4 linked regions of the Tamandua tetradactyla genome follow. The protein of the gene in region 1 purifies or fractionates together with the protein of each later gene. This does not show direct contact. Links are inferred from orthologs where the notes say so. Each region holds a gene or a part of one and is shown on either strand. Other genes may lie near its edges. The genes, in order: PHLPP1, WDR20, USP12 and USP46.

Evidence for each region.
Region 2: the proteins of PHLPP1 (region 1) and WDR20 purify together in Homo sapiens (affinity purification with mass spectrometry; 4 studies listed by BioGRID and IntAct, with this or other methods). This does not show direct contact. The link is inferred for Tamandua tetradactyla from reciprocal best matches to the Homo sapiens genes PHLPP1 and WDR20.
Region 3: the proteins of PHLPP1 (region 1) and USP12 purify together in Homo sapiens (affinity purification with mass spectrometry; 4 studies listed by BioGRID and IntAct, with this or other methods). This does not show direct contact. The link is inferred for Tamandua tetradactyla from reciprocal best matches to the Homo sapiens genes PHLPP1 and USP12.
Region 4: the proteins of PHLPP1 (region 1) and USP46 purify together in Homo sapiens (affinity purification with mass spectrometry; 7 studies listed by BioGRID and IntAct, counting the BioPlex papers as one, with this or other methods). This does not show direct contact. The link is inferred for Tamandua tetradactyla from reciprocal best matches to the Homo sapiens genes PHLPP1 and USP46.

What each region holds. Positions count from the first base shown.
Region 1 is NC_135344.1:19,506,883-19,514,740, forward strand, and holds the start of PHLPP1 (PH domain leucine-rich repeat-containing protein phosphatase 1), read right to left. Parts: upstream 3,019-7,858; 5' UTR 2,800-3,018; coding exon 1,215-2,799; intron 1-1,214. UniProt on the Homo sapiens protein: Protein phosphatase involved in regulation of Akt and PKC signaling.
Region 2 is NC_135338.1:63,627,514-63,635,429, forward strand, and holds the start of WDR20 (WD repeat-containing protein 20), read left to right. Parts: upstream 1-4,902; 5' UTR 4,903-4,964; coding exon 4,965-5,213; intron 5,214-7,916. UniProt on the Homo sapiens protein: Regulator of deubiquitinating complexes. Activates deubiquitinating activity of complexes containing USP12. Anchors at the base of the ubiquitin-contacting loop of USP12 and remotely modulates the catalytic center of the enzyme.
Region 3 is NC_135330.1:192,409,159-192,416,404, reverse strand, and holds the start of USP12 (ubiquitin carboxyl-terminal hydrolase 12), read left to right. Parts: upstream 1-4,228; 5' UTR 4,229-4,316; coding exon 4,317-4,364; intron 4,365-4,459; exon of another isoform or gene 4,460-4,531; intron 4,532-5,431; exon of another isoform or gene 5,432-7,246. UniProt on the Homo sapiens protein: Deubiquitinating enzyme that plays various roles in the regulation of the immune response and inflammation.
Region 4 is NC_135345.1:52,904,438-52,911,516, forward strand, and holds the start of USP46 (ubiquitin carboxyl-terminal hydrolase 46), read right to left. Parts: upstream 3,003-7,079; 5' UTR 2,825-3,002; coding exon 2,789-2,824; intron 2,344-2,788; exon of another isoform or gene 253-2,343; coding exon of another isoform or gene 235-252; intron 1-234. UniProt on the Homo sapiens protein: Deubiquitinating enzyme that plays a role in behavior, possibly by regulating GABA action. May act by mediating the deubiquitination of GAD1/GAD67.

The sequences.
Region 1 (7,858 bases):
ACACTGAACAATTTCAGAAAACCTCAATTAAACTTAGATGAACTTCCCAACAGGAATGCTACTGGTATATCATTCAAACTGACTAAACTGCCACAAGGACACAAGGTGGACCACAAAACATTACATTTGAAAATATGGCCACATAGTAATAGTTACAAATATGATTATTTTCCCACCATCACCGACACTCTAGAATAATAAAGCAGGGAAGATTTAACTCTCTCCTGTTTTAATTTTGCCATGATTTTAACTCTATTTTAAATAAAAACCCTTTTCACTAAGAGCATAATTCTTCAATCCAGAGGAGGGATAGGATGCAAACAACATATAAAGTTCAAATACAACAATCAGGACCTAGAACTCCCCTAATGTAGCATCATCCAAGTATTTAGCAAAAAGAGAAACATTTCATTAGTCATCCTTGGTCAAGAATTTGATCTGGGATTGCAAAAAGAATGGGGAAGATTTTAGATCATATCTGAAGAGATCATGAACCATTTAATTTCTTATTGTGATCTGTGTTGCAAGTCATAGCGCAATGTCCACTTCTCTTTATAAATGGCGGAAGAAATAAATTAGGGAAGAAAACAGGTAACATTATTTTGATGCAAGAATCAACCTTACAGAGGAAACGGAAAGAAAACCAAAAATTGACAAGTATCACCAAAAAGGATCGTATTTGTGACTCTGAACAAATAAGCACAACAGCGAGCTGAACAGGTGCATCAGGTGACAAGGACGGAGCTGCTGCTGCTGGTATATATACTTAGAGCTAGAATAGTAAACTGTGAACAAAAGCGTGCAGAGGTGCTTTAGAGCATTTTGTTGAACATTTTCTCTGTCCATATTATGTGCACTTGATGTTTATCTGTAATGCCAAACTACCTCAGACCCAGTATGCCTATGACCAGAGGCCTGAAGGAAGCACTTATTAAAAGTACTATTGCCTGCTTCCTGTACTTCCTGGAGATTCTGCCACCCCCTCCACATTACTTTCCAACCTCTGACCCTCAAGACTGACTAAAATTCACGGGTTAAAAAACTGCTCAACTTGGCATTGCGCAGATGGCACGCGCAAGTTTTGAAGGAGTAACAAAGCATCACGAGGACCTGCATTTATTCTTGGGTTGGGCAAGTATATGTCAATTTTCAATCATTTCTTGGTACATGAAATGTGCACACCCCACACGTCAAAGTGCAGGTGAGCGCCTTACCTGCATAGAAGCGGATAAGGCAGCCAATCTCCGAGTCCATGCCTTCCTCCTGTACCCTCCACAGCTCCCCAAACCCCAGCTGGAAGAGGTAGTCATTTTGGATCTGCAATGGCTTCTCGTCCGCCTCCAGGCGCCGGGTGGTCTCTCCATGGAGCTGCACGTACAGGGTGGGTGGTGGAGCCTCCTTCTCCGCGGCCGCCGCGTTCTCCCCGGGGGTCGACGAGGTACTGCGGATGGATGCGGCCGCCGCCGCCCTTTCCTCCCGCGGCCCATCGCGGGCTGCACCACCCGGACAGTCGACGCCCTTCGGAGCTTTGGGCCGCGACGCAGGCGGTGAGGCCGCGGGAGACAGCTGCAGGACGCGGGGGTCGCCGCACAGCTCTGGGGAGTGGCTGGAGAGGTGGGACTGGTCCGAAGACCCCGTCGGGGCTGGGGTTGGGTCTGCCTCGAGCTCCGACGACGACGACGAGGAGCCACCGCCGCTGCCGTAGGGGTCCAGCCGGTCCGACACGCTCTCGGCGCTGGGACTCAAGCTGAAGCTCTCGGTGTCGGAGGCCGGGCCCGCGGCCGCGCCGTCCGGAAGCCGGGGGGCGCTGGGAGGGGGAGCAGGGCCCCCCGCGAGCCGGTCGCCGGGGCTGGAGTCGGAGGGCGCCGGGCCAGCGCGGACAGTGCAGCCCATCCACCCGCCCGGGCCTCCGGGCAGCGGCAGGTCCGCGGGAGGCGAGCGCGGCCGGCCCCCGACGGCACCCAGCCAGCTGCTCCCAGGCGGCGGCGCCCAGTCCCGCGGCTCGGTCCGCAGCGGCAGGGGCCCAGCGTCCGGGCCAGGGGTGGCGGCAGTGCTGGGCCCCCTGCCCAGCACCTTGACCAAGCCGCCTCCACCCTTGTGGCCCAGCTGGAGCAGGCGGGCGGCCACCTCCCCGGCCGTGGTGTCCAGCGTGCAGAGCACCGGGCGCAGGTAGGTGGAAGCCATGTGGCGCTCGAAGACGTGCACGCAGCCGCGCTGGAGCTGCTGCCTCACCCAGTCCCGGTCCGACGGCTGCAGCTGCATCATCTGCCGGTGCTTCAGGAGCAGCGTCTTCCTGTCCAGGCTCCGGGTGCACAGCGATGCCGAGGCCGAGCAGGAGGCGGCGAGGCCGGCGGCGCCGGGGGAGTGCGCGGCGGCAGCGGCCGAGGACAGATTCCTCTTCAGCCGCCCTCTCCTCAGCAGCAGGGAGTTGGCGCCGCCGCCGGCTCCGGGCACAGGGGCAGCCCCGCCGGCGGGGTTCTGGGGTGCCCCGCGTCTCCTCCTGCGACTCGTGCCTCCAGCTCTGCCGGGCAGCGACCCCGGCGGCGCCTCAGCGGGGGCCTCTGTCCGCGCCCCGCTGCCGCCGTTCCCGCCGCTCCGCGCCGCCGGGGTCAGCATGGGCTCCGGGCTCCGGCCGCCCCCAGCCGCCGCCGCCAGAGCTGCCGCCGCCGCCGCCGCTGCCGCCGCCGCCGCCGCCGCCGCTGCCGCCGCCGCTGCTGCCGTTGCCGCCGCCGCCGGAGCTCTGTCCTCCCTGCCGGGTTCGGGGAGTCGCTGCGCCGTGGCCGCGGCGGCGGGCTCCATTGCAGTGGGGCGCTGCGTTTCCCCCCAGCTCCGGAGGCAGCGGGCGGGGAGGGAGGAGGTGAGGCGAAGGTGGGCGGCGGCGGCGGCGCGGGGAGAGGGGAGAAGCCAATGGCGTTCGGAGCGGCCGTTCCAGGGAATTATGTGGCAATTCGGAGCATTCCGTCGGTGTCTCGGTGTTCCATCCCGCGCGCCCGCGCGCCCGCTCGCCCTCCTCGCCGCCACCGCCCCGCCCCCCCACGCGTGCCCTCCCCGCGGGGGCCGCGGGCTCTCGAGCCCGGCCCCGCCCCCGCCCCACCCGGGCGAATCAGCGCGCGCCGAGGCTCATTGAATATTAATCACGCGCGGGGAGAGGGAAGGCGCGAGACAGACGGGGAGGGCGCTCCGCGACGGCCTCCTGAATATGCATTGCGGGCATTACGGCATTCCCCCGCCGAGTGGGGAGAGCCTGAGGGGGGTGGGGGGCGGGGCTTCAGGGTAAACAAAAGTGACGCGAGCGCGGGGCGGGGGCAGTGTTCCCCGAGGTCCCCGAGCGGGCGGGAGGCCAGAGGCGCGCGGTCCATCTCGGGAGTAGTAGTTCCTCGGCTCTGGCGGGCGTGCGCGACGGTAGCCTGCCGCACTACAAGCCCCAGCGAGCCTTAGGTCCCGCCGCTCCGGGCCGCCGGCCGCTGCCTGTGGACTGTGCGTATCGTGCCCTCTTGTGTTGAGCTCCGGACGGGTGCAACGCTTGTCTTGGCGGTGCATAAACTGTACTTTATCGGGCGCTCGTCATATGACTTCTCTTTTCCCTGCTAATTGAAAGTGAGGGTTTTGAGGGACGCTAAGCTTGGTCCCTGGTCCTCACCTCCAGGCATTGTATGAGTAGATACCAATACAGACCCTCGCGCCACAGGATAACTGGCCATCTACGGCGACAACCTCGCGCTGTTCTCACTCTTACAAACCCCCTTTCCTAATTTGGACAGTTGTTAATGTGCTTGGGGGGAATCGCGCGACCGTGAGCCCATCTTTTCCCTCTCCTGTATCTGAGTGTTTTCCCTTTGGTCTTGAAATTTGAAGTAGCTTAATAGCACGGAAAGCAGCGAAAAGGAGAAGAGAAGTTGGAGGAGAGATACGGTGAGATGTAATATGGGCTGTTTCGTGCTTTCTCTATTATATTTTCCCTGGGTTTTTTTATTTCAGCATTGAGAAAAAATATATTTTCTCTACAATGTAGCAGTAGCTGCATTTTCTAGTCAGTTAAAACAATATTGTGATGCGCCCCTACTTTGGAAGGTTCAGAAGTTCTACATGTTTTCAACCGTGTCCTCAAATATTTCAGTGTGTCCAGAAAATATTAGTCTTTCCGTTCTGTCACATCTTGAAGTTGGCCGCTAGTCAGCAGGTGGTTTTCCAGATAGTGGCACCACTATACATTCCAAGGTGGTGTGTGACCCAGTTTGGTGAAATACAAATGCGCGGAATATCCTGACAAAGCTGCCAAGCATTTAGAGAGAAACGTGTCTCATTATCAGTCACAGATGGACAGACAGGCTCAGGTACATGTGACATCAATTGGACGCAGATCCTAAAGGGGTCTAGTGAAAATAAAGATTCAAAGAATGAAAAAACCTTTCAACACTTAAAATTTTGCCATGGTCTAAAATGCAAGCCTGGCATTTCTGCCCTTAGTGCCCTCAAGATTCCTCCCTTTAAGTGTCCTCACATTTCCTACCTGGCATAAATAGCTCCAATTGTCAGCAGTTATTTAGATGAAATCCTTATCTGCAGGCTTTTTTAGAAACTATTAATGTGTGTTCCCAGGATTTAAATATATATATATGTATGTATATTTAAGGTGAACTAGGGCAGGTTACTATTTAAAAGAATTTAGCAAACCAAACCTTTTTAATTGAATTGCCGTTCCCCCAGATTGTTTTATAAGTGTGGATTTTCACATGAAACTTCTGATAAATTTTCAACTAAGGTCTATCCAGGGTCGGCCTTAACTTTCAAAACTTTAAACTTTGGGATGAGGAGGGAGAGAGAGAGAGAGAGAGAGAGAGAGAGAGAGAGAGAGAACAACTGAAGCTTATTGAAATAATAGAAACTGATAAGAGCAAGGTAAGTTGTGCTTAACTCATCCACATGGTTTCATTAAAGAAAAATGGACGAAGTTACCATAACTAAAAATAAATATTTCTCTTAATGATTCTTAAAATTCCTGAAAATGACTTCCTATATATATATTTTATACATGGGCAGGCACCAGGAATTGAACCCACGTCCTCTGGCATTCCAGGTAAGCGTTCTTGCCTGCTGAGCCACCATGGCCCACCCACTATATATATATTTTTAAAGTCATCCCTTGGACTCATGAACCTCATTTTTATTCCATTTAAATCCAGTTAACAGCACTGAGTTGTTTTTAAAAATTAGGAAGAACACAAATTCTCCCAACAGAGAAAAAATATTCAGGTCAATTAATTTAGCAATTATACACATATATTGGGTACCAGTCACTATATTACACCCATTGAATAAATCAGGCATTTTCCCTTTCCTCATATTGTTTACAGGTTAGAAAGAAAGACCTTCCATTATTGAGATGGTTGTGGGGAAGGGAAAATACAAGGTTCCATAGAAATGCAAATAAAAGAGGGGAACTCACCTAGTCTAGGGAGTCAGAAAATGGAGACCTAATTTTGGAGGAAGTTTTCTGGAATGAATAAAAGTTGAGTACTTGTTGAAGGATCAGTCTTTGAACGAAGGAAAAGAGGTAAAGAGAAAGAAGGAGAGTGAAGATAAATTTCAACTACACTAATCTATACTTTGTCTTACATATCCCCAAGACAATTTTTCCTAGAAATTGAGATTAGTATTTCAATTTAGCCATCCACTAATAAAATTTTCAAACAAAGCTCATGTTAAATTTCCATACTAAAACAAACTCTTTACATCTTCTGTTTATATTTATTTCCTTAGTTGATTTCTTACAAACCTCTTTAATTTTTCCTATATTAAGAAATGTCATTAACTAATAGTATCTACTTTCTAGGTTATATTTCTATAGCTAATTAACAAGCTCTATAAAAGTTTCTTCTAATAATAAATTCTGCCATCCTTGGCCCAATGTCCATTAGCATCTGCTCTAAGAAATTGTAGTATTTTACTTATTTTAGCTCTGGTTCTTTTCATTTAGCTTTACACAGTCACCACAACTCTGCCTTTTTATACTCTAGGAATTTCGTTTACCCTTTGAAAGCATTTCTAATCATAGCACCTCCTTCCAAGGGGGTGGAGGCGGAAAAAATGAAAGTAAAAAACATTTCTCAAAGAACTCAACTCAAAATATTGGAGAGGGAGGCGTTGGGAGAGTCATACACTCCTAGACAATAGAAACTTAGTATGAGGGATTACTAAATTGGGGTTAAAGGAAATATATCTCAGTATGAAGAAAAAGGAAATGCATTCCCCCTTAGGAAAAAAAAAAAGTGGGGGGGTGGGAACGTGAAGGAATGGAGAGTACGATTTTACTCAATTTCATGCTGAGTCTGTGACCTGAAAGATTCCATTGAACCCAGGATAATAAACATCCGAGTGGAGTGGAGAGCAGAAGGGCAAGGGTTCATGGGATGATTCCTCTCTCATGTCACCCCCAATCCTTCGATAAAGTTGCAATAAAGTTATGAACGTTGGGATGAAAGGAGATTCCGAAAGGGAAGACAGTCCCCTTAACACCAGATTAGCTGGAACCTTGTAAAAATAACAGAAATGATAATGATAATGAAACGTGTACTTAGAGGGTGCTCGTATCATCAAACATTAACTGGACCAAATATGCCAACTCACACTACACAATTTTTCTGAGTAGGAGAAAGACTTCATTAAAGGGCAAATATCTTGGAATAGCAGCTTCTCCTATTAAATACAGTAGAAAATATGCCAGCGTTCTGAAACCATGTACGTCACGAATGCCTCCTGTAAAGTGTTCCAAATGTATAATCTAATACCACATTTCTGACTAGCTGAACTTTCCCAAACATCACATTTTAAAATGCTTCAAGATAATCCTGAAGAGAAACATCAGATAAAAGTTGCAAACTCCGATGCCAACTTGTTAAAATATTTTCACAGTTATGTTTAGAAAAAGAAAACATAATTTTCAATTTGCTGCCACTGTTTACTTTACGCTGTGTGATTTATAAATGACTTGCTGTATTCTGCATCTAGGCTAGTCCCAGTGTGCATCTTTAGATCTAAAATAAAAGTAAACCATCTTTGGATTTATTTTCTTCTAATATAAGCAGTTGGAATTTTAATGGGAACATGAATTGATAGCTGGACGGTTTTAGTCAGTTGTAAAGGGCTCCGCAGTGTCCAGAAATAAACTCAGAAACGTGTACCATACAATGTAATACTTTTAGTTAGTATATTATGAACAAGAGATCTAATTATAATTTCATATTTTTATATCCCTTGAGCTACTAGTGTCCCATGCCTAAATTGCTCACTCTTTACTCATCCTTTCTTACCATGAGGGGCCCATTTATTCAATTACTGCTCTAGTGCAGATGGGCCTCAGGTGGCCCAACTGAATTAATATGTCCACTGCTGACCTGCAGGATGAAGACTGCAGGTCTTCTGGTCTCTCCAAAATCTTATCCCTTGCTCATAAAATTTATAATTTGAACTCTATAAAAAAGAGTTTAATTTGCCACTATCATCTTAGGTAGTCCACTTGATACACTCAATAGTGTTTCAGATATTAGGGCACCCTTTTTTATCCCATAATTCTTGGTCTTTTTCTTAATTCTCACATCCTGCCTCAAAGAATTAGAATGATGTTCTATATATCACAACTATTAAGTTTCAGGCCAGGAAATAGAGGTCTTTACCCACAACAATGTAAGTCACCTGGGACATTCTCTGGACAAGTGGTTATTGACCTTTTTTTGTGCAGGCACTGTTCACCAGCTGTCAACAGTACAGGCGTAAATGCCTCTCCTAATGAAGTTTATATGGAGGCATTACCATTGTTTAAAAAAATCTTCAGTAAAAATCAACCTATCTCCTTCTTCAG
Region 2 (7,916 bases), on another chromosome or scaffold:
TAAAACGAAAACAGAAATAAAAATTATACCTACCATACCCCTTACCCCTCGCTTTCACTGATCACTAGCATTTCAAACTAAATTTATTTTAACATTTGATCCCCCTATTATTTATTTTTATTCCATATATTCTACTCATCTGTTGAAAAGGAGCATCAGACACAAGGTTTTCACAATCACACAGTCACATTGTGAAAGCTGTATCATTATTCAGTCACCATCAAGAAACATGGCTACTGGAACACAGCTCTACATTTTCAGGCAGTTCCCTCCAGCCTCTCCACTACATCTTGAATAACAAGGTGATATCTACTTAATGTGTAAGAGTAACCTCCAGGATAACCTCTCGACTCTGTTTGGAATCTCTCAGCCATTGACACGTAGTCTCATTTCACTCTTCCCCTTTTTGGTTGAGAAGGTTTTCTCAATTCCTTGATGCTGAGTCTCAGCTCATTCTAGGATTTCTGTCCCATGTTGCCAGGAAGGCCCACACCCCCGGGAGTCATGTCTCACGCAGAGGGGGAGGGTAGTGAGATTGCTTGTTGTGTTGGCTGGAGAGAGAGGCCACATCTAAGCAACAAAAGAGGGGGACCAAAGTTTTAAATACCATCTATGTGCTGATGACTGTCAAATATACATCGGCCACTCAGATCTCTCTCCAGACTTGATCATTCAACTGCCTCCTGGCCATTTTCTCTGAATGCCTAATAGACATCCATACCAACATTTTCAAAGTTGAACTCCTGATCCTCCTTTCAAAACTTGCTCCTTTCCAGACTCCCCCCTCTCGATTAGTGATATCTTCATCCTCCAATTGCCTATGCCTACCATGGAGTCGTTCTTGACTCCTCCATTTCTCTTACAAGCCACATCCAATCTGCTGGAAAATCTTACTGGTTTTACTTTCTGAATTTATCAAGGATTTTCTTAAACTCTCAATCTCAATTGCTACCATACCTATCCAAACCACCATCAATTACCTTTGGCCTGGATCATTGCAGTTAGTCTCTTACTAGGCTAGAGGCCAGCCTCAAAGACCTTGCTATTCCTTGAACATTCTTGGCACTCTCCTGCCTTGGAGGCTTTTGCTTGATCTGCTCTTTTCCCAGCTCTTCCCAAGGCCCATTCCTTTGCCTCTTTCAGGTCTTTGGTGAAGGGTTACAGTTTCAGTGAGGCTTATTTTGACCACCATATTTAAAATTGCAAACTACTCAGCACACTCCTAATGCCCCTTACACTGCTCTACTTCTTTTTCCTAGCACTAACCTATATATTTATATTTACTATATATATATATATTTATTTATTTATATATTCCTCAGTCTCCTGTTATCCCCTGCAAGAACAATCTCCATAAGTAAAGGAATTTTTTTATTTATTGATGCATCCCAAAGGCTAGAACATTGTAGCATATTGGAGGCTCTTAAATAAATGTTTGAGGATATGAAAAATTTTAACAAGGTTTCTCTTATCCTTGAGTGTGCTCACAATCTGGCTGATAGGTTGGGTATATGCATTCAAAGACAAATATCAACATAATATATTAGCATATGCTAATAAACACCAAAAGAACATTAGAATGGTAGTCAGCATATTATATAATTGACAATCAAAAACTCAGAGAAATGTCATAGAAATTTAGCCCGGTGATTCTTAACTTTAGGGCGAGATTTTTAACTCTGAAAATCCGATGAAAGCTATACTCTGTTGATTAAGTGAACATATACATATAATTTTGAATACAATTAAAGGTTTAAAACACTTCCTGGAAACAGCCATGGATCCTGAATTGAGAATCCTTGGTTTAAAGTACAGTATATTATATCACCAAGAAGACTTTGGGAAAGGTTTGGTGAGGATGGGCCATAAACTAGTTCTCGAAGAACAGCCTATGAAGAAGTGAAATAGTTAAGAGTGACAGCTTTTAGCTGTTTACAGATTGACAGTAATGAGGATTTATGTGGTAAATAAGGGGTAGGCTGAGATTGCGGGTGGATACTTAAATCCTGTGGATACTGCCAAGTCACTGAAAGTTTTTGGACTTTGTTTAAAGCAGTGTTTTAAGAAAAAGCAGTGCTTTTAAAAATTAATTTCATAGTTGTTTATAGGAGGAAAACTGAAACTAAGGAAATAATTCAGGAAACCATTAGATTCAAGTTTGAGGAAATGGAAAGGGAACTGATAAGATTTACAGACTGATCAGTTTGAGGCACAAATTCATTTAGAAATGCCTGGTTTGTAAATGAAATTCAGAACTATATAACTACATTAGGCCTAGTTATACTGAATCCTTGGGAGTTGGGAAAAGAAAATATAAGAGAGAAGTACTCAGATTATTCAAATGCTTCAATTGGGGGAGGATGGTATAAGAGTAGTTCAGTTGCAGAATTCTTGCCTGCCATGCAGAAGACCCATGCTCAATTCCCAGCTGTGCACTATCCCCCTCTCCAAAAAAAAAATCAACAAATGGTGCTGTAATAACAGGACAGTCACATGGAAAAATAACGAAATGTCACCCCCACCATACAGCATTAAAAAAAAAAATTCCAGATAGGACAACATATTAATATTATTTGAATTTATATGCTGAATAAAACAGTAATAGAATGCTTAAGGTCTATAGGTCTTTTATGTAATTGAATGTTCTGGTTAATCTAAGGCTAATAAAAAATTTGCGTTCAAGCTGCTGCTTGCTGAGTCGTCCCCCCCCCCCCCCCCCCCCCGTTCTAGTTTGCTAGCTGCTGGAATACATTTACCAGAAACAGAACGGCTTTTAAAAAGGGGAATTTAATTAGTAGCTAATGTCCCAATTAAAACAAGTCTATAGAAATGTCCAATCTAAGGCATCCAGGGAAAGATACCTTGTTCAAAAAGGCCGATGAAGTTCAGGGTTTCTCTCTCAAGTGGAAGGGCACATGGCAAGCACAGTCAGAGCTCTCTCTCATCTGGAAAGGCACATGGTGAACAGGGTCAGGGTTCCTCTCTCATCTGGAAGGACACATGGTAAACACAGCTTCATCTGCTAGCTTCTTCTCTCCTGGCTTCCGGTTTCATGAAGCTCCCCGGGAGGCATTTTCCTTTTTCATCTCCAAAGGTTGCTGGATCGTGGACTCTCTGCTTCGTGGTGCTGCAGCATTCTCTGCTCTCTCCGAATCTCTTTCATTCTCCAAAATGTTTCCTCTTTTATAGGACTCCAGAAAATTATCAAGATCCGCCCAAATGGGTGGAGACATGTCATCACCCAATCCAGTTTAACAACCACTCTTGATTAAATCACATCTCCAGGGAGATGATCTGATTACAGTTTCAAACATACAGTATTGAATAGGGATTATTCTGCCTTTATGAAATGGGATTTAGATTAAAACATCCGTTCAAACCAGCACACCCCCCAAAAGCATTGTTATACTTTTAATATATATACCTTTTTCCTTCTCTTGATAACTAGGGAATACAGGTGAATTGGTTATACATGACTGAGGATGTCACTAGTTCTTCAAGGTGATCATTAAAAATACAAAATTTTGATGTAAAACACAATTATAGCAGATTGGGTTAAATCCATGGTATCATAGAACATACCCTGGTATTTTAAAAGATTTCTGATATCTATTTGACTTTTAGAGAAAGGCAGATGCCATGAAAACAACTGTAACAAAATTTTTTACATATTTTAGGGATTTATTAAGTAAATAGATTTTAGTCTAGTGCTTTTTTGCCAACATGCTCAAAGGTGCAGGATGTTAGTGTCAAATTCATTATGAGATCATTGGCAGTTTTTACTTTTCACTTGTTTTGTAATACATAAGATATTTATGATTTAGGCACCCTCACTTTAGAATTTACCTTCCTCAGTTTCTTTTGTGACCCTCTAGCTAGGATTTGAACTTGAAGAAACAGTTCATTCTTGGTGTAATCAATGTTGGCTTTTTTCCTCCAGGAATTATATCAGATTATTTCTGTCACTTAGAACCTTTCTTATTCTACTGCAACATTCCAAGAAATCCAGGTATAAAATGGTGATTGTTTAACCTTAATTTAACACCCATGCAAGTTCCTGCATAACTAGATCTAGTTTATGCATACAACTATACCTATGGATCTCCTAGTATTTTCACTTAAGGCCTTAAAAATAATTCAGTGACTTCTTTTTTTAATTAAGAGCTCTTAATCAACTATTGAGCATAAGTGAATCCTGCAAAGATTCAGCCTCTGGTGCCCAAAGCCATTTCCCGCCCCCCAGTTTTCTCTGAACAACTACTGGTGAAGACAAACTTCAGTTAAGAACCAGAAACGCCAACACGAACTATTCTCCTTAAAATTAGCCACTGCTCACTGCAGAAAGGAATTCAATGCTTGACCTGCAAACACCTATGCCATATGTATTTATACCCCACCCCACCCTCCCAAAAAGATGGTGAAGCATGAAGCTCTAGTCCTTCGGTACCTTCTAGGACCGACTCTAGGAGGTGCCCAGACCTCGGGATAGACATGCGGGTCCGGCTCAGCCCCCCGCGGGCTGGACCGTCCCCGGGCAGCCGAGGGCGGGTCCAGGAGGGGCGCAGCAGCGCCCTCCCAGCGTTGGGGCCCCCTCACGCCAACGCCGGCCGCAGCTGAGGAGGCTCCCCCAAGTTCACCTCAGTACTCCTGACCCCACCCCGGTCGCTGCTTCCCCTTGACGGCTCTCTCCGAACGCAGAGGAGCTCTTTGCGGGTCAGCGGATCGAAACCGTCCCCCACCTGAGTCTTCGCGCACAGCGCGCCAGGTGAGCACGCCTGCGCAGTCGGGTGGTAAGCAAGACCACCCCTTTCCTTCCGCGCGGCTCCGCGGGGCTGCTCGCGGGTGGGAGGGGCTAGACGGAAGAGGCGGGGGGTGGGGGGTGGGGAAGAGCGAGAGCCAGGGACGGCGCCTGCGCGGTGGGCGTGATCCGGGCACTTAGGGCAGGATGAACGCTGCTTTCCAAGATGGCGACGGAGGGAGGAGGGAAGGAGATGAACGAGATTAAGACTCAATTCACCACCCGGGAAGGTCTGTACAAGCTGCTGCCGCACTCGGAGTACAGCCGCCCCAACCGGGTGCCCTTCAACTCGCAGGGATCCAATCCTGTCCGCGTCTCCTTCGTAAACCTCAACGACCAGTCTGGCAACGGCGACCGCCTCTGCTTCAATGTGGGCCGGGAGCTCTACTTCTATATCTACAAGGGGGTCCGCAAGGTACCGACCCGGGCGTCGCCGGGGCTCGCCTGCGGCGTGGGCAGAGGCCGGGAACAAGGCAGTGACAGCGGGGGCCAGGGTGACCGACAGGGGTAGCCTTCGCTCTTACTTTTGAGTGGGCCGGTAACTCCACTGGGGTGTTTCTGAGGAAAGGGGATTCATGAGTAAGGAGGGTAGTGATGGTAGCGTTTCGAAGGGTTCGGGGAGGTGGATAGCGTCCGTGGGATGTGGGGTTCCGGCTGGGAGGCCTCAGAGGAAAGAGCTGCCTCCCTCCAGCAGGTCAGTCAGGCTCTGACATGGCCAGTGAGCGGCCTGCGAGTCCCCGGAAGAGGTAGGGTGGCCGTCTTATTAGCCCAGACCATCTCGCCTGCCCGGAGGTCTGGGAGTCTTGCTCTGGTTTAGGGAACGGGCTCCGGGCTGCTTAGGAAGCTCTGTAAGGCGGAGTTGGGATTGGGAACCGGAGACTGAGACTAGGTCAGAAAGGACCTGCTCGGCACGAAGGGCTACTCCACCTGCTGCCGCACTGACACTTCCTCAGAGCCTCTCCTTGTGGTTTTAACACATCTATTTCCAAAAACATCTGATGGAGGAGGCTGTCATTGTCTCCTCCGAGGAAGCCTTTTTCTGAGAGATTATTAAAGAGGATTATTTTACAGTTGGGAGATCGAAATGATGTTTCCAACCAAGTAAACTGGTTCACAGGGGTTCTGTGTGAGCGTGCTCAGATTAATCTTGTCCAACAAGTCAGACTATGTCCCAAACAGGGAGGGATATGGCTTAAAAGCTACTTGACAGGAACTACCCTTCTTGGCGGGTAATTTAACAGTAATTCTGTGAAGCATGTAACCATCCTTTAAAATATCTCTTTAAAAGCAGCAGTTCATTAGAGCTAGTCCCCTCACCCCCCCCCCCCGCCCGCATTAGATATACAACTGTGTTCTCACTGAGAACTGCTTACTTTTGAGATTATGGTCTCCGATTTGACTCGGAAGAGTGAGGAAATTAATGCACTCCACAGTACCTCGGTTTGAGAAAAGGTGATACAAGATTAATTTACAAGTGTTCGGTTAGAATGAAAATATTTGGTGCATATTGAAGACTGAACATTCTTTAGGATTCAGTATTTCCAGATCCAGTACAGAATTTTTATTTGGTTATGAGAACTAGGGAAGTGACAATGTTAACTAAATGTATCAAGTTTTCTCGTTCTTTTCAAGGTGAATCTTCTTTGTTAGCGTTTGTCGTTTGTCATAATAAGTGTATTATTGTGTTTAGAGTATGCCATTGGTAGTTACAGGAAATAAATCATTTGACCTTTTTTCCCCTTTGGGAATTGGGAAGGGGGTGAAGTGTTTAGTAGTCTTGGAGATGAAATTTTAGTCTTAGTCCCTACTTTGTAACTGACTTATTGGACAAGTTATTTAACGTCTATCTTCTCCTTTTTGAAAGGAGCATGTGGAAGTGTATATGTTGTAATTGATAATATAATAATTGTGATGAACTTTAAAGCCCTGAAATACTTAGTAGATGCAAAATATAGTTAAAATAAGCATTTAGAGTAACTGTCAAACAGGAGGCTGCCATCTTGACATTCGCATTAGGCCTGTTTTCTTTGGAAATATGTTTAGATTTTAAGTTATTAAAATTTATTTATATAAAATTTATATTTATATGCAAAGTGCTTAAAAACTTAAATTCACTAGCAATAGCAATCACTAATATAGGCATTACCCTTTTAAAACATTTTCTTTTAAAACTTTATCTTTTTATATATATTTTTTGTTTTTGAGGCATTCTAATGGCAAGCCTTATGTGAATATTAGTCCTGGTTTGCATCATAAAACAGGGCTCTTGCCTGAAAGTATGGTTAGAACAGTGTTCTCTTTTAGTGGGACACTTTATTCCCTGAAGGGTAAAACTAAGAGCTTTTCAAAACAATATCCCCCCAGAAAAAGATCTTATGACAACTCCTAAGCATTTAAATTACCTTTACCTGCATAATTTATTTGAGCATTTTAACTTCATTTTTGTAAAATTTCATTTTCATGTGGCGTTGTCTTTTAAATATATTTGCAGTAAGTAGTGGACATTTCAGTTCTCTCCTAGGTGTTGTAATTTTGTTTTGTTTTTGTTTTCCATGAATGACTTTGCATTCAGTTATTTTTTAGTGTAAATGATTGTTTTTGTGATTTTCTTTTTATTTTCTGATTTTAAAACAGAGCAAATAACTTATCCTTAAAAAAAACAAGAGTTATTTTTTAGTGTTAGGAGTTGTAAATTTTGGGTTTTTTTTTTCATTAAAAAAAAAATTTTTATTAATAAAACCAATCAACATACAATATGAATATTCTTTTTTATCACATAGTTGTATATTCATCATCATGATCATTTCTTAGAACATTTGCATCAATTCAGAAAAAGAAATAAAAAGAAAACAGAAAAATATTCATACATACCATACCCCTTGCCCCTCCCTTTCATTGATCACTAGCATTTCAATCTACTAAATTTATTTTAACATTTGTTCTCCCTATTATTTATTTTTAATCTATGTTTTACTCATCTGTCAATAAAGTAGATAAAAGGAGCAACAGACACAAGGTTTTCACAATCACACAGTCACGTTGAGAAAGCTTTATCATACAGTCATCTTCAAGAAACATGGCTACTGGAACACGGCTCTATGTTTCCCTCCAGCCTCTT
Region 3 (7,246 bases), on another chromosome or scaffold:
GTCACACAATTAGCACTTTTCTACTTTAGAGTTGTTTGGGTATAGTGTCTTCTTTTTTCAACTAGGTGGTGAGGTTTTTGAATACAAGAACTTTTGTCCTAAGGTTCTACCACAAAGCTTGTAGGGTAGGAGGAGCCCAACAGATATTTATTGAAGGAGTAAATGCAATTCCGATACAAATTTCTGAGTAATAAGAGATCAGAGGGATCATGCTTATGCTAAAGGACACAGTGTGTCCCCACATTACTACTCTATCCCACTCCTTCTCTACACAGAAGAAAAGAGTGGGTGGCGCAAGCAGTTGGAAAGGAGTCCCCTTCTCCAGCCAAGCTCAGCCACTTTTGAACAGGATCAAAACAGTTGAAATGATTGTGTTATCCTCACCAGCGTGTTGTTAGTCTCCTCTAGTGGGACCCACATTAACGAGGACCCAAGTACACAGAGAAAGTATTCTGGCTTACTTTATACTCAGCAGGAAGCAGGCTGTCTCCTATTGCAGACCTGTTATTATTTTGATGTCTCCTTGAAATTTGCTTATTCTTGGAAATTTGCTCATTCTCCTTGAAATCTGCAGGACTGGGATTCCATATGGACTGTCGTGTGGAGCAGGTTTTAAGGTAGGCTGATTCTGCCACTTATTATGGATGGGTATGACGGCAGAAGTCCCAGAGAGGGTCACTGTGGGTTGGATTGTCCCCTGGACATTTCGTACTCTTCTCCACAAACCCCCTGCAACACGCCCCATAGATACCTTCCACAGGTTTCGGGGCTTTCCCTCTGCCTAGAAAACCACCAGCCTTCCCCATCCCTCCCCATTGCTCAACCTAATCTTCTAGATTGTGAAGCACCCCCCACCCCCAGCTCACCCCTCCTGGGGGAAGAGCTGAACACACTCTCTTGGAGCTGATACCACTTGGTCCTTCATTCTCTCATCTCGTTTACCGTAATAGTCATCTGCCTATGCCAATGGACTTTGTGCTTCCTGAGGGCAGAGACTTCTCTAATGCACTATTAGATGATCAATAAATGTTTATTGTAAATTATGAGCACACATTTCAGTTTTTTTAAAAACATTTTTTTTGTGTGAAATATAACATATATAAAAAAACAATAAATGTCAAAGTACATTGTAACAAGTAATGATAGAACAGATTTCAGACTTTGGTATGGGTTACTGTACCACAATTTTAGGTTTTTCCTTCTATGTGCTCCAAGACTTTGGAGACTAAAATATCGATAAAATAATTCAGCAGTCATACTCATCTGTTAAATGCTATCTTCTCTGTTATAATTCCTCCTTCTCCTTTGATCTTTCTCCCAATCTTTAGGGGTATTTGGACTATGCCCATTCTAACGTTTTCATGTTGGAAAGGGTTGTCGACAATATGGGATAGGGGGATGGAATTAGTTGATGTTCTAGAGAGGCTGGGCCCCCTGCGTTTCAAGACTTATCTGTCCTAGGAACCCATCTGGAGGTTGTAGGTTTCTGGAAAGTAATCCTAGTGCATGGAACTTTTGTAGAATCTCAGAAAGAGCCATAGGGGTTCTTTAGGGTTGGTAGGGATGGTGTTGGTTGGGGTTTGGCAAACTATGGCAGTTAGCAGTATCTAGCTGACACTTGCATAATAGTAGCCTCCAGAATAGCCTCTTGACTCTATTTAAAGAATATCATCTAATTTCTAAACCTCTGAGAGTAAATTGTAAACATCATACCCCACAACTACCCTACTCAATACTTTCATGTATATTTCCTAAGAAGAAGTATAGACCATCACTGGGATTTTTTTTTTTTTTTTTTTTGGACATCCTCTGCTTGGAGACCTGGGAGTATTAATCAATACCACTAGGAAAGGTCAATTCATTCCCTGTCTAGAGGCAGGGTAGAGGAGGGGAGACACCTGGATTTTAGATCCAGGGCAAATGGGTGTGGAGAGGGCAGGAGTGCATAAAGGTTTTCAAATGAAAAACTTTGAAATAAAAGCACTGACCAAACAGATTAAGGTTGGCCTTGGTTTGTTCACTTACTTGACCCAGGAGGTATTTGGGGGGTATTTTAATGCTTGTACATTCAGGCAGGCCCAGAAATGGTACAATGAGGCTCTTGGTGAAGCTCAGACAGTTGCAGGTAAAACGTGTTCCACACCCAGTATACTCCTTGCATGCTCTGGGTGCAAGAGTGTGGGGTTCCAGGCAAGTCTTATCCCCAGCTGCATCACACATAATGGAAAATGCTCAGGCACAGCACCAGGCAAAGAAAGGGCTCTCTTCTTATATTTGAGTCTTTCTACTCAGCCTTAAGCTGGGGCGACAAGACATGTTTGTCCTGTCTGTGAATTCAGATGGCTCTCTACTGGACACGACTCCACATGATGCCATCAGAAATCCATTAAGTAGGCCTCGCTATCCTATAAATGTATGCATAGAGCTGGATTGAGTGGCCTCTGTTCCTGTCACGTTGTAGGTTTCAAGGACAAGGAGGCATGGTGGTGGGCGACATCGAAGGAGGAGGAGGTCAAATTCTGGCACATTCGATCTGCTCACTGGGACAAAACAGCAGGTGGAAGGACAGGATGTATAACAGACATTTTACCAAGATGGACAGGGCCCAGCGGCGTGGAAGACGAGGCCCAGGCAGGCCCCTAGGGTCTACGATGTGATGACTCTTGTCCAAACAGTGAGTAGCATAAAGCAAGAAAGAAACCAAGTGGGCGCTGCTTGCGAGTCTAGGCAGGGAAGCTACACACCTGTAAGTATGACCATAAGAAATGGACCTAGCTGCTGGCTTGGTGTCAGGGCAGACAGCCAGGGCCACGGCTTCCATGGAGAACCAGGCTGGCTACTATGGGACATGGCTATATTCAAGCTAATTTCCCCTACACAAGCTTATAATGGGAATCACTATGGAAACAGCACTCATGTAACAGAAATTTATTTCTCACCTACGTTGTGTGTGAATGCTATGTTTTGGTTTGAAATGCTTTTAGCCTATGAGGTGAGGCATACCAGATATTAGAGCTTTGTCTGAATTCCCCCCAGCCCGGCTGAAATGGAAGTTCCCCATCACCACGGATTGCCACTTGAAAAGTACCACAACCTTTCTAATACAATAATTTATAAAGTTCTCACTCGAAGTACTTTCTCATAAAGGAAGACACACAGCTGAGCTGTCTGACTTGAAGCACAGGTGCGACGGTAAATTTTATAAAAATAGTGAAGAGGAAATATCCCACCAGCTAACTGCTGCTTTAGGGCATCTCTCACTCGTGGGATCTAACTTCTGGTTTGGTCGCATCATCTCACTGCTGGGTTGAGGTCTTTCCTTTTATACAGGCCCTGTTGTCTAGTGTAAATATATTTAGATACTGTATTTATAAACACATTTTAAAGGCCAGCCGACAGGCAGAAAGCCAGGGTCCCTTATTACTCATCTTTTCTCTTTCTCTCTGTATTTTTCTTTGCCTTTCATTTTTATTAATTTACTAAAGTTACAGTACTTTCATCCAGATAATTATTCAATAATAAAATAAAACACCCCACAAAAAACCAAATCCCTTGCATTTTGGTATGTGCATGGGATGCTGTATTACTCGGGTTGTCTTGAAAGAAGGGGGTCTCCTCTCACCCCACCCGGAATGGTCGGATCATCGCCTCCGGTTTCGGCAGTGGTGGCTAGCTGGCTTGAGCCCTGGGGACAGGGCTGCGGGTCATGCCCCTTCAGGGTTGACCCTGGTCGCCCCCCGCTCACCCAGCCGCGCCGCGCCGCGCGCACCCCTTGCTGCCACTCTTCTCGGACCGCTGATGGCGGTCTCTAGGACCACGCGGGAAGCGGGGACAGGAGGCGGTGCCCGCCGCCACCCCGTCCCCAGCCGCGCGCGGAGTGAGGCGGACCCGGGAGTCCCGGCTCTAACGCTCTGGGACGGGGGAGGTGGGGCCTCGGCGGGGGGCGGGGCGCGCGCGGGGCGGGCCGGGAGGGAGCGCGGGCCGCGCGGCTGTGGACCGCCGGGCATTAGGGCCGGGGCGGAGCCCGCTCGCCGGGCGCGCAGGGTGGGGTGTGCGGCGGCGGCTTCTCGGGCAGGCGTGGGCCCCGAGGCAGCGGCTGCGCCCTGCGCGGGTGAGAAGCCGGGGCCGGAGGCCGAGGCCGGGAGAGCCCGAGCGCCTGCGGCGGCGGCGGCGGCCCTTCGGCGGCAGAGAGGGCTCGGTCCGGGGGCGCGCGGCGACGGCTCGGGCCCGCCGGGCCTGCGGCGAGAGCGAGCGGCCGGGCTCCCTCCTCCCGCGCCCGCCGCCGCTGTGATTGGGTGGAAGATGGCGCTGGGCGAATGGAAATCCTAATGACAGTCTCCAAATTCGCCTCCATCTGTACCATGGTAGGTGCGGCGCGCGGCGCGGGGGCGGCCCGCGGGGCCTAGTGGCGGGGGTGGCGCGGCCCCGCGGGGCTGTTGGCCCGCGCGGGGCCGGGGGGCTCGCGGCCTCGAGCCGGGGAGAGGAGGGCGCCGGGCGTTGCCGGGGGGCCGAGGCGAGCCGGCCGAGGCGGGTGGGCGGCTGCGGGCTTTCGCCCCCGGCTGGCGTGCGGGAGTCGGGCGGGGACCGGGCGGGAGTCTGGTGGGAGGCGGGTGGGGGGCGCGGGCCCGGGCGGGGGTCGGCGGGGGGACGCGGCGCCAACGGCTCGGTCTCCATTTTAGAGTGGCCGCGCGCGGAGCGGGAACTGTCCCCGGGGCGGGGGGGGCTCCGCCGGCAGGAAGGAGGGTCTCGCGGGGACGGGCAGAGGCTCGGAGTCCTGCCGGGGCGGCGGACGGAAGCCTAGTGCCCACTTCCTCGCCGGGCGGAGTCCTCCGACCCGGCTCTTGGGGGGCAGGGGGTGTGTGAAGGTGGAAACTTTAAATAAGTGCTGCGGACATCTTTGGATTTTCCACTCAGTGTGAGAGCGATGAGCTCTCACGCTCCCAGCCATGTGTCCAGGTGGCGGGCTTGTCCCCTGGAATCCACGCCAATCGTGAAAAGCAGGGTTCGCTTTCCTGTCATTTGTTTAATACACCAGACACATCTGTGTGTGTGTGGCTTGAAGTATTTCTGTGCAGAGACGTCACCGCAAGCGTATTGTATTTGTTTTGTTAGGGCTTTCAGATAGGCTTTAAGGGAGAACCGCTAATGTCCGTTTTAAGTCCCTAATTAAGCAAAAATGTGGGTGTGTTTAAAACTTGGCGTTTTTATGTTTGGCCACCAGGACTACGGTTTCCACATAATGGGACAGAATTTGTGTGATGAGCTCCTTATGAGTTACATCTAGGGATCATAATTCTGAGTCATCCCCGAAAGAAGTTAATTCTTTGTAAAGTGGGCCTAAAGTGGTTATATTATTGAAAATTTCTGAAATCTTTCCTTCTGTTTCAAGTCTCACTAGCCTTTTTTTTTTTATGTGCCTCATTGCATATAGGAAATCCCCAAGCAATCTTCGGATCCAAGGGTGGTTAGTTTTATATATCTTGCTTTAAGGAGTGGAGAATGGGATCGGGAAAAATCTTTAAAAGAAGATTCTAGATTTACTGCACGCTGAGAAACAGTTTTTAAAAATGACTGAAATTAGGTGGACTTAAAATCAACAGAATTAAAGAAATCGTATTGAAGGATGAATCATTGAAGAGTCCATTTACCTAAACGGATGTTTGTATTCTCTCACAATGCACATTTTAGAAAAGCGTTGATATTAAAGAGACTATGTTAAAACAATTTTTGCAGATCTCTTGGGCTAATTATTTTTAGATATGCCAAATGTTATCTTAGTTTCAAAAGGAAGGTGATAATTAAGTCTTTTAAAGTGATAACCTTGCTGTATTGCTGAGCTACACACTTTGTCGGGTCATAGTTCATTGTTAAGGTCTAGGGTTTTGGGAACAGAGGGTGTGTTACTTTATACTGACTAGTCTTCATTCAGTCAAATACAGAATATATTGGGCACCTCCTAAGGGTTAGGCATTGTGCTGAGTGGGTGGGCTACGGCAGCCATAAAGCCCAAGTCCCTGCTTTCCTGGTGCTTATATTCCAGTTCAGGGAGACCAACAGTCTTCAGGTGATCATATTAAAGTAATATATGCTGTAATAAGATTAGGAAAAGGAGGCACAGGGATTTGCCAGCGTCCTGCAGTAAGTGGTATTCTCATCTCTGGAATGTCAGACACTAAAGTGCTTTCTAGGGCTTCCGCCCAGGTCCATTAATTGGAGTGGTGTGTGTGTGTGTGTGTGTTGTTGGCAGATACAGAGACATCTGTTCATGGCCAAATGAGATTGTTCCAAAGTAGTATTGCAGTTGGGTGGGTCTGTATTCGTATCTGATGTGCTCCCGAAATAAAGTGCTAAGTATCTTGAAATAATCTGCAGTCATATTCTTAGTCTACAGAAAACTGCAGTCAATCTTCTGAAAAATACAGCATTGACAGTTGAGATGAGTAAGGATATTTTTCTCTTTTCTTCCCTGTCCTAGTCTGGCTGGGTCCTCGTCTCTTAAGCAGGTGTCCTTGCCCAGCCCCACTCTCTAGCCCCCTCTTACATAATTTCAGAGCATTTTTGTAATCTCAGTAACACTTATCATACTTACTGGTTGTATGTATTTCTTGTCTCCCTGTTAGATTGTGGGACCTGAGGCCAAGGATTATCATTTATTTCTCTCTCCTCAGTATCCAGGCCACTTTGATCTAGAGCACTAACCTCTGCGTACAATAAAAAAAGTTTCCCAGAGTGCATCCTTTCTCCCACCCAAACCTGGGGAAAGGGAGTTTGGTTAAGCACCGGAGAGATGGTGGTGATGGGGGCCAATGTGGAGCCCCTGGGAGGCGAAGGGCTGAACCTAAGGAGGGCACTTCTTGGAAAATTAGCAGCTGTGAAAATAGTAGGATGAATTGGAATTTTATTCTATAAATACCAAAGTATATGTAATTTCTTCTTGGGCAAAGCTGTAATACTGAAATTGGGTTAACTCTGTTAGAAGAAATCTCAGTTATGCCTTATTCTAGGTCACTGTTCTGCATTTACACGTGGACATGAGGCACCTTTGTTTTTCTGAAGTTAGTACTATATAGCTTGATCTAAAGGAATGATTTTTATTTTGATTGCAGTGAATTTGCAAAAGTACCTTTAGAAATGTCTTTTTTTTTAGATTTGTCCACGAAATAATCCATTTGCAGCATCACGTGGTGTTCATTTTGCCTCTGAGGCAGCTTCTGATTTCAGGGTCTGGCATGGAGCGGCCACCTAA
Region 4 (7,079 bases), on another chromosome or scaffold:
GTTGGTTTGTTCAAGTCTCGCTCAGAATGGTAGCGTTTTTGAACACCCTTCCAGGATGCACATCAGCATGTTTAAAATACTCCAAATGACCTACTTAAAAGAAAATGCAATCTCCACTTGATTTTACTACAAGGATTCAAATTAGCTGGGACCAAATGAAATAAAGAATGGGGAGGGACATTAAGAGCCTCAAAAAGGTGCTAAACAGTAAGGAGAGACCCATAAAAGTCCTACCTGGAAACAATTCATCATGGAGTGAAGAACCTAAAGTGGGGTCCAATGAAAATTTACGTCTGATCAGGTGAAGGCAGCAGTCTCTTTACCAAGTTTTCTCCTCTGGTAAGTGAGACTGGGTGGGGCAGGAGTGACCTGAGCAGTGTTTGAAAAGGGGCGGAGTTAAGGATTCTCACCCAGCCCTTTCTCTAAGCTGCCTTTCAGCTTGGTTTGCATAAACCAAGCTGAAAGGTTGTTTGTATTAGTAGCTGCTTCCTTCAGAAAAGAAGACATAATCACTGTCCCTTAGATAATCAGAAGGCAAGATAATAATGAGGAAGATGACTTTGACAATAACAGCTAAACACTGAGCACTTGCTTTGTGTTAGGCCCTGTACCCACCCACCTCAAAAAAAAAAAAAAACTTATGTAATACAATAGTTCTATGAGGTAAGAATCATTATCATTCCCATTTTATAGATAAGGAAAGTAAGATAGAGAGTAACTTGTTCAAGGATACAAACCTACTATGTGTAGAAGCAGGACTTGAAGCAAGTCTGACTTCCGAGCCCAAACTGTTCATCACTTGGTGATGATCCTAAATTTGCTACCTTTTTACCTTCACATCAGATGTCAAGTCCCTGGACAAATTCTGAGCCTACAACAGTACCTGGCCTGCTGCTCCTCTTGTGTCCTCCCACAGCTTTCTCCCTGGCTGGGGCTTTCAGCCTTGAGCTTCACTGGAAGCAGGTTGTGACCTTCTGCCCAGGTCTGCCAAGAAGCCCCCAGCTGCACTAAGGACAAAAGAAAGAGCTAGAGGCTGCTGTCCTCTTGAGTCATGATAGCTTTCCAGTTTCCATCCTGCTTCAGTGCAGAGGTGTCACCCCAGCACAGGCAGAACAGGAACCACACCAAGGGCTGGGACTGTGCCTGACACCCCTGTAGGCCTGAGGCCACCCCAGCAAGCATGAAAGAAAGTATTCAACTGTTCTGGTTTCATGGTTCCCCTCAGGAGCTGGTTGTAGCAGAGAAAGAATTTGAGAGAAAGGCATCACCTTTTCACTACACCAAGTAACATTAAAGCCACTCAAAAAGGAGCAGGCCAGCTGTCTTCCCATGGGAAAGGAAGATAGAGCAAATGCAAAGGCTCCAGGAGCCACCCACTACATCTAACTCTCCCTGCATCAACACCTTTGCAGCCTCACTCTGGGAAGCCTGGCATCTGCTTCCAGGAATGGCCCTACAATGCTGAAAACTGAAGCGGCATCAGTGGGACTCAACTCCACCCCTGAGCTAACACACGGTTCCTTAATGCTCCTTTGCCATGTGTTTATCTTGCAACAGAATGTGAGACAGAAGATTAAAATGCTGTGTGATGGGGGGAGGGCAGCCAGATCACCTTTCCCCAAGGCTTCTCAACCAAGCACCTCAGATTCCCTTTAGGGACCTCTATTACTAGCTTCAAGGGAGGTTTTCCCAAAACTGGTTTAAAAAAGCATGTGTCCCAGCTCTGGAGGAGGGTGGAGGGAGAGGATTGGGGTCAGGGTTGGGTAGGGAAACCTCCATAGTGAAGGCAAAGCACACATCCTTCCTCCTGCAAAGGAAAGTGATGTCTCACTTCTAAGGGCAACCTGGGTTCCCCAAGGCTCCAACAAGTAGGGGCACCAGCAGAATGCACTCTGGGGACCTAAAGGCAGGAAGCAGTTCGTGCAGAAAATGAAAAGGAAGGGAAAGCAGTGGGAGGAACAAGTTGAAGTGGCCACTGCATCATGGACCCTGACTCCATCAGAGACCAAGTGATGTCCCCTTGCTGTGCCCATGCCCATCCACCTCCTCTACAGTGGAGCGCCACGACCACTGCCAGCCCCACCTTGAGGGCCTCCGAATATTACTGCCAGATAACCTTGTGCCTCTTTCAGAGATGGGGAAACTGGGATATCCACAGCAAACAACCTGGCTTTTCCCAATCAGGTAGAACTTCATTCCTCTCACCACAATTTTACACTTTTTTTTCTTTTTTACAGCTTTATTACATTTCGAATTTTTCCAGACACATGGATCGCCCTTGCAAAGTAAATGCACCGAAAATGAGAAGGGAGCGGTCAGAGAGCCTTGCAGGGCTTGATTTATATCGCAAGGAAAGGAGGGTGCCCCCTAACCCACCCCCACCTTATCCCCCAATCCCCTCCTCCGGGACGTCCAGGGTTCGGCCTCCCCTTTCCCCCCAAGCCGCTTCCACCGCAACCCGAGGGCGGGGAACGGCGGTGCCGGCCGGGGACACGCGGGCCCGCTCCCGGGTCCGGGGTTTGAGAGAGGGGCGCAGGGGGGGGGGGGGCTCGGGCCCCTCCCACGGCTGCTCCACCGGGCTGCAGCCGGCCCGCCCAGCTCCGGGGCCGACAACTTCCAGCCGCACGGTGGGGCGAACCCCTCCGGAGGCGGCCTGCGCTGCCGCCCCCTCGAACCCCAACCCCGCCGCCCACCCCTCCCCTTCGCGCAGGGCGTGTGTGCGGCTCGGGTTTCCCTTTCTTCGCCTCTCCGCGCCTCGGGCGCGACCCCCGAGGCGGCGACTACTCACCATATTACAGATGGAGGCGATGTTTCGGACAGTCATTAGTCTAAAGGTTGCAGCGATCCCGCACCGCCATCTTTATAAGGTGAAAACAGGAATGTCCATGGTGGAGCGGTCGCCGGGAGGACGGGGCGGCGGCGGCGAGCAGGCTTGGGGTCCGGCTTTCAGTTTGGCTGGGAGAGGGCGGCCGGGAGGGAGGAGGAGGAGGAGGCAGCCGGGAGGGCGGGGAAGGCGGGGAGGACGGGGGAGGGGGAGGGGGAGCGGAGGGGCGGGGAGTGGCGGAGCTGGGGAACCTGGGCCGAGGCCGGCGGCGCGGAGAGAGGGGCGGCCCGAGCGCGCCGCGTGGAGTCCGCGCCGGCTCCTCCGAGCACTCCAGCCGTGCGCCCTGCCCCGGGCCCGGCCCCAGCGCGGCCCCTGCGCGGCCGCTGCGCCTCCGCTCCTCCTTCCGTGGCCCGCCCGCCCCTGCCCCGCACCGCCGGGGCTCGCTCTTTTCCCCTTTATTTCCTGCTTCACTATTTGGGCAGTAATGCAGGACCAGGCCCTGCACCCCGGAGCAGACCCCGGCACGGCAGCAGCGGTCCCCTCGGTCCACCGCTGGGCCTTTGGCAACACTGAAAGATCAACTTCGGCCGGCGCCGCCGGGGAAGGAGGGACAGCGCCTGGCGTTCACGGGGTGGGCGGAAGGGGCCGAGCCTACGGCGGGCGCCGGCTCCGGCCTCCGCGGAAAGGGCCGCTAGGGACAAGGGGCGGTTTTCCGTGTTGGATTTTTCTGCTTTTCCTTTTCCTCCCTGCGCCGCTCCCCTTCCCCCACGCCATCAACCCTGGGGTTTTATTTTTGGCGCGGGGCAGGGTGACTATATCTAGCTTTTCGTTTCTTCCCTTGGTTCCGCCGCATGGTACCGGTGAGGACCCCAAAAGTAAAATGGGGTCAGGATCAGGGAGTGGTCAGAAATCCCTGGCCGGCAGCGAACCGGCAGCCTGGTAAAGGGCGCTGGGAGGGGACAGGAAAGTGAATCTGAGCAGAGGCCAGCAACGGTGCACTCAGCCAATTTGTGACATTAGCAGGTACAAAGGAAAAGTCCCGGTTCTGGGCAAGGACTGTCAAAGGAGCTATTTGAATCCGAAAAGTGCAAAAACAAAACTTTTTTCGCATTTCAAGAAAAACATACTCTCCCAGGGGCACCCAACTTTTTTATTTTTTAAGAGGGATGCTGTACCAGCGTATTATATTCATTTCCTCCATAGAGGTCGTGGCTACTGGCTCAAAGCGCGAATCTGTACACCCCTTAGCAGATACAGGTTTCGGTGAACTGAAGGAGCCTATTTCCATACAAAGCATGCTTTCAAAAAGAAGTTCTTGCATGTTAAACGCGTAATGAATTCTTAAACCAATAAATGTATTTAGTAAGTTAAGTTAGAAGAGGAATTATTATAATTGAAAAAAGCTTTTTATCTAACCAGGGTGCTAGGAAAATGCCACCCTTATCTTCCATTATCTATTTAGTGTTATGCACATAAGATTTGAAAGAAGATGATGTCTAATATCCCCAGGAACTAGGGTGGAAATAAAAGAAGATAAATTCATCTGCTGACTGAAATTTTGAGGGAACATAATTTTCAACGGATTTAAGGAAAAAAGTTACTGCTTATTTTATATCATTCTACCTTAATCTTGTTTCCAAATGGATCCTGAGAATGCCAATGGTTATAGTTAACTTTGCTTTTTTACTATTGTCAGTCACGGTGCTTTATATTCATGATCACCTTCATTGGCACAATAGCTATCAGGTGTTTGATGTCGATGCTATTATCTCTTTTTTGCAGGCGAGTGAATTAGACTTAGAGGATCAAGTATCCTACCCAGAGCTTATTACCCAAATTCCAGAAGAAGCTGGTGTGCTCATTTGGCTGAAGAAAATTGGAGGAGGAGGGGAAGACAAGCAAGACACTCAGACTATGGGCAATTGTGTAACTGATGTCCAGGATGTTTTAAAGCTCTGAGGAAAGTCATAAAACAAGTTCAGGAGCAACTTCAGGCTGAAACTCAGGCCTCAGTACTCAATTGCACAGATGTTCAACTATAAAGATGTTAATCCAAAGCCTTACATGATATGGAAAATGTATACCATCTTCTGACGTTGGCATGATGGATTTAGAGTTCACAGGATTGAAAACACTCATTGCTGAGTGCTATATTAGCAAGTTAAAAGTCTTTTTAACAGCCTAAGACTGAGGTGTTCAAATATGGACAAACATCCAGATTGAAATCAGGCAGTGAATTACATACACAACTAATAAGTTGCACACAGCAGATCTTGTCAGACTCATAAATAATAATACATTTTTACACTACTACAAGGTTGGTGTTCACAGGTTTAAATTTGAAGAGACTTGGGCTGAATAATCATCATGTCAGCTCTACTCAGTTGAGTAAACATTATTTGGAGGTGATAAGAGGTAAACTTTTGAAATGTTGACAAGCTAATGAGAGAACTTTGAGGAAAGTGTTCCTTACAGGGACCAGTAGAGTGAGGACTGAGAAAAGCAGGCAGATGGAGTGATGAGTTAAAGGCTTGCTTAAACAGCCTAAATAGGTTTGAAGGAAGAAATCTTTCCATCTCCTTGGTGTGCAAAGTGTGGTCCATCGGCTAACAAATCACCTGGGCACTTGTTAAAAATACAGACCCAGAGAGCATGTGTTCTCAGGCTGGGTCCTTTTGTAAAGGGTCCTAGATGGTAAGCTCTTGGAGCAGTCATATCTAGTCCAGAGTTGTAACTGTTATTTCTAAATTCTGAGATGCTGAGCTGTCTGTGTATAGCCTGGTCATTCCCTGGACCTTCAAGTATTTATATGACACATGAGATAGTGTTAGAGCTCTGAAGCTATGAAAGTCAGCAACTATTGAAAAAGTTGAAAAAGTGATCAGACTTCGGCTATGGGTATGAATGAAGCTGATCTGGATGGGACTAAGTTAAATCAGAATACAGAGTAAAGAATGATACTATTTTAAAACTTCAACTTTATGTGAAACCAAGGAAGGAATGTTTATTTGGTGCAAAATTTATATTTTGGGTTGTACAGTATCTAATTTAACTTGTAGGGTCAGTTTACTTTAACACCATAGTTACATGGAACCTTGAATAGGAAGTGAGATCTTCTTGTTTGTACAGGTTAGTGTGATACCCTACTACATTCCAGAGTAATTTGGGCAGAGAATAAAAAAGTATTTGCAAAGTCCCCTTGAGGGACTAGGGGAGAAAGGTGGAAATGCTAAGCTTTCCCAACTGGGGAATTCCTGATATTCTCACAAACACGGGACAATCAATTCAACATGCTGACCCCTCAGTCTTGGGGTTTGCCCTTATGAAACTTAGCGAAGAAGCTAAACCTACTTATGATTATGCGTAAGAGTTGCCCCCAGAGAACTTTTGTTGCTCAGATGTGGCCTCTCTCTCTAAACCAACTCAGTAGGTGAACGCACTGCCCTTAATCCTACATGGGACATGACTCCCAGGGGTGTAAATCTCCCTGGTAACATGGCATATGACTCTCAGGGATGAGCCAGGACCTGGCATCATGGGATTGTGAAAGCCTTGTTGACCAAAAGGGAGAAGAGAGAAATGAGACAAAATACAGTTTCAGTGGCTGAAAGATTTCAGAGAATGTGATAGACCAGAAATGGAATGACTTTTAAAAAGGAGAATTTATTAAGTTGCTAGTTTATAGTTCTAAGGCTGTGAAAGTGTCCAAATTAAAGCAAGGCTATAAAAATGTCTAATCTGAGCTATCAGGGAATGATACCATGGTTCAAGACCAATGACATTCATGGTTTCTTTCTCAACTGGAAAGGCACATGGCAAACATGGCAATGTCTGCTAACTCTCTCTCCAAGCTTCTGGTTTCTTGATGCTCCTCCAAGGGCATATTCCTTCATCTTCAAAGGTCTCTGGCTTCATGGGCACTAGTGGTTCTTGTGGCTCTTCTCTCTAGTGACTCTGATGCTTTCTCCAAAATGATTCCTCTTTCAAAGGATTCCAGTAAACCAATCAAGATCCACCTGGAATGGGTGGCATCACATCTCCCTCTAATCAAAGGTTAACCCCCACAATCTCCATAGAGATAATATAATCAACTTTTCCAACCTATAGTGCTGAATAGGGATTAAAATAAATGGTTGCTCCCACAAGATAGGTTCATGATTAAAACATGGCTGTTCTAGAGTACATAATCCTTTCAAGCCAGCACAGCAGCTAACTTTCATCTGGGATTCTATATCACATGGGAAGGCACAAGGTG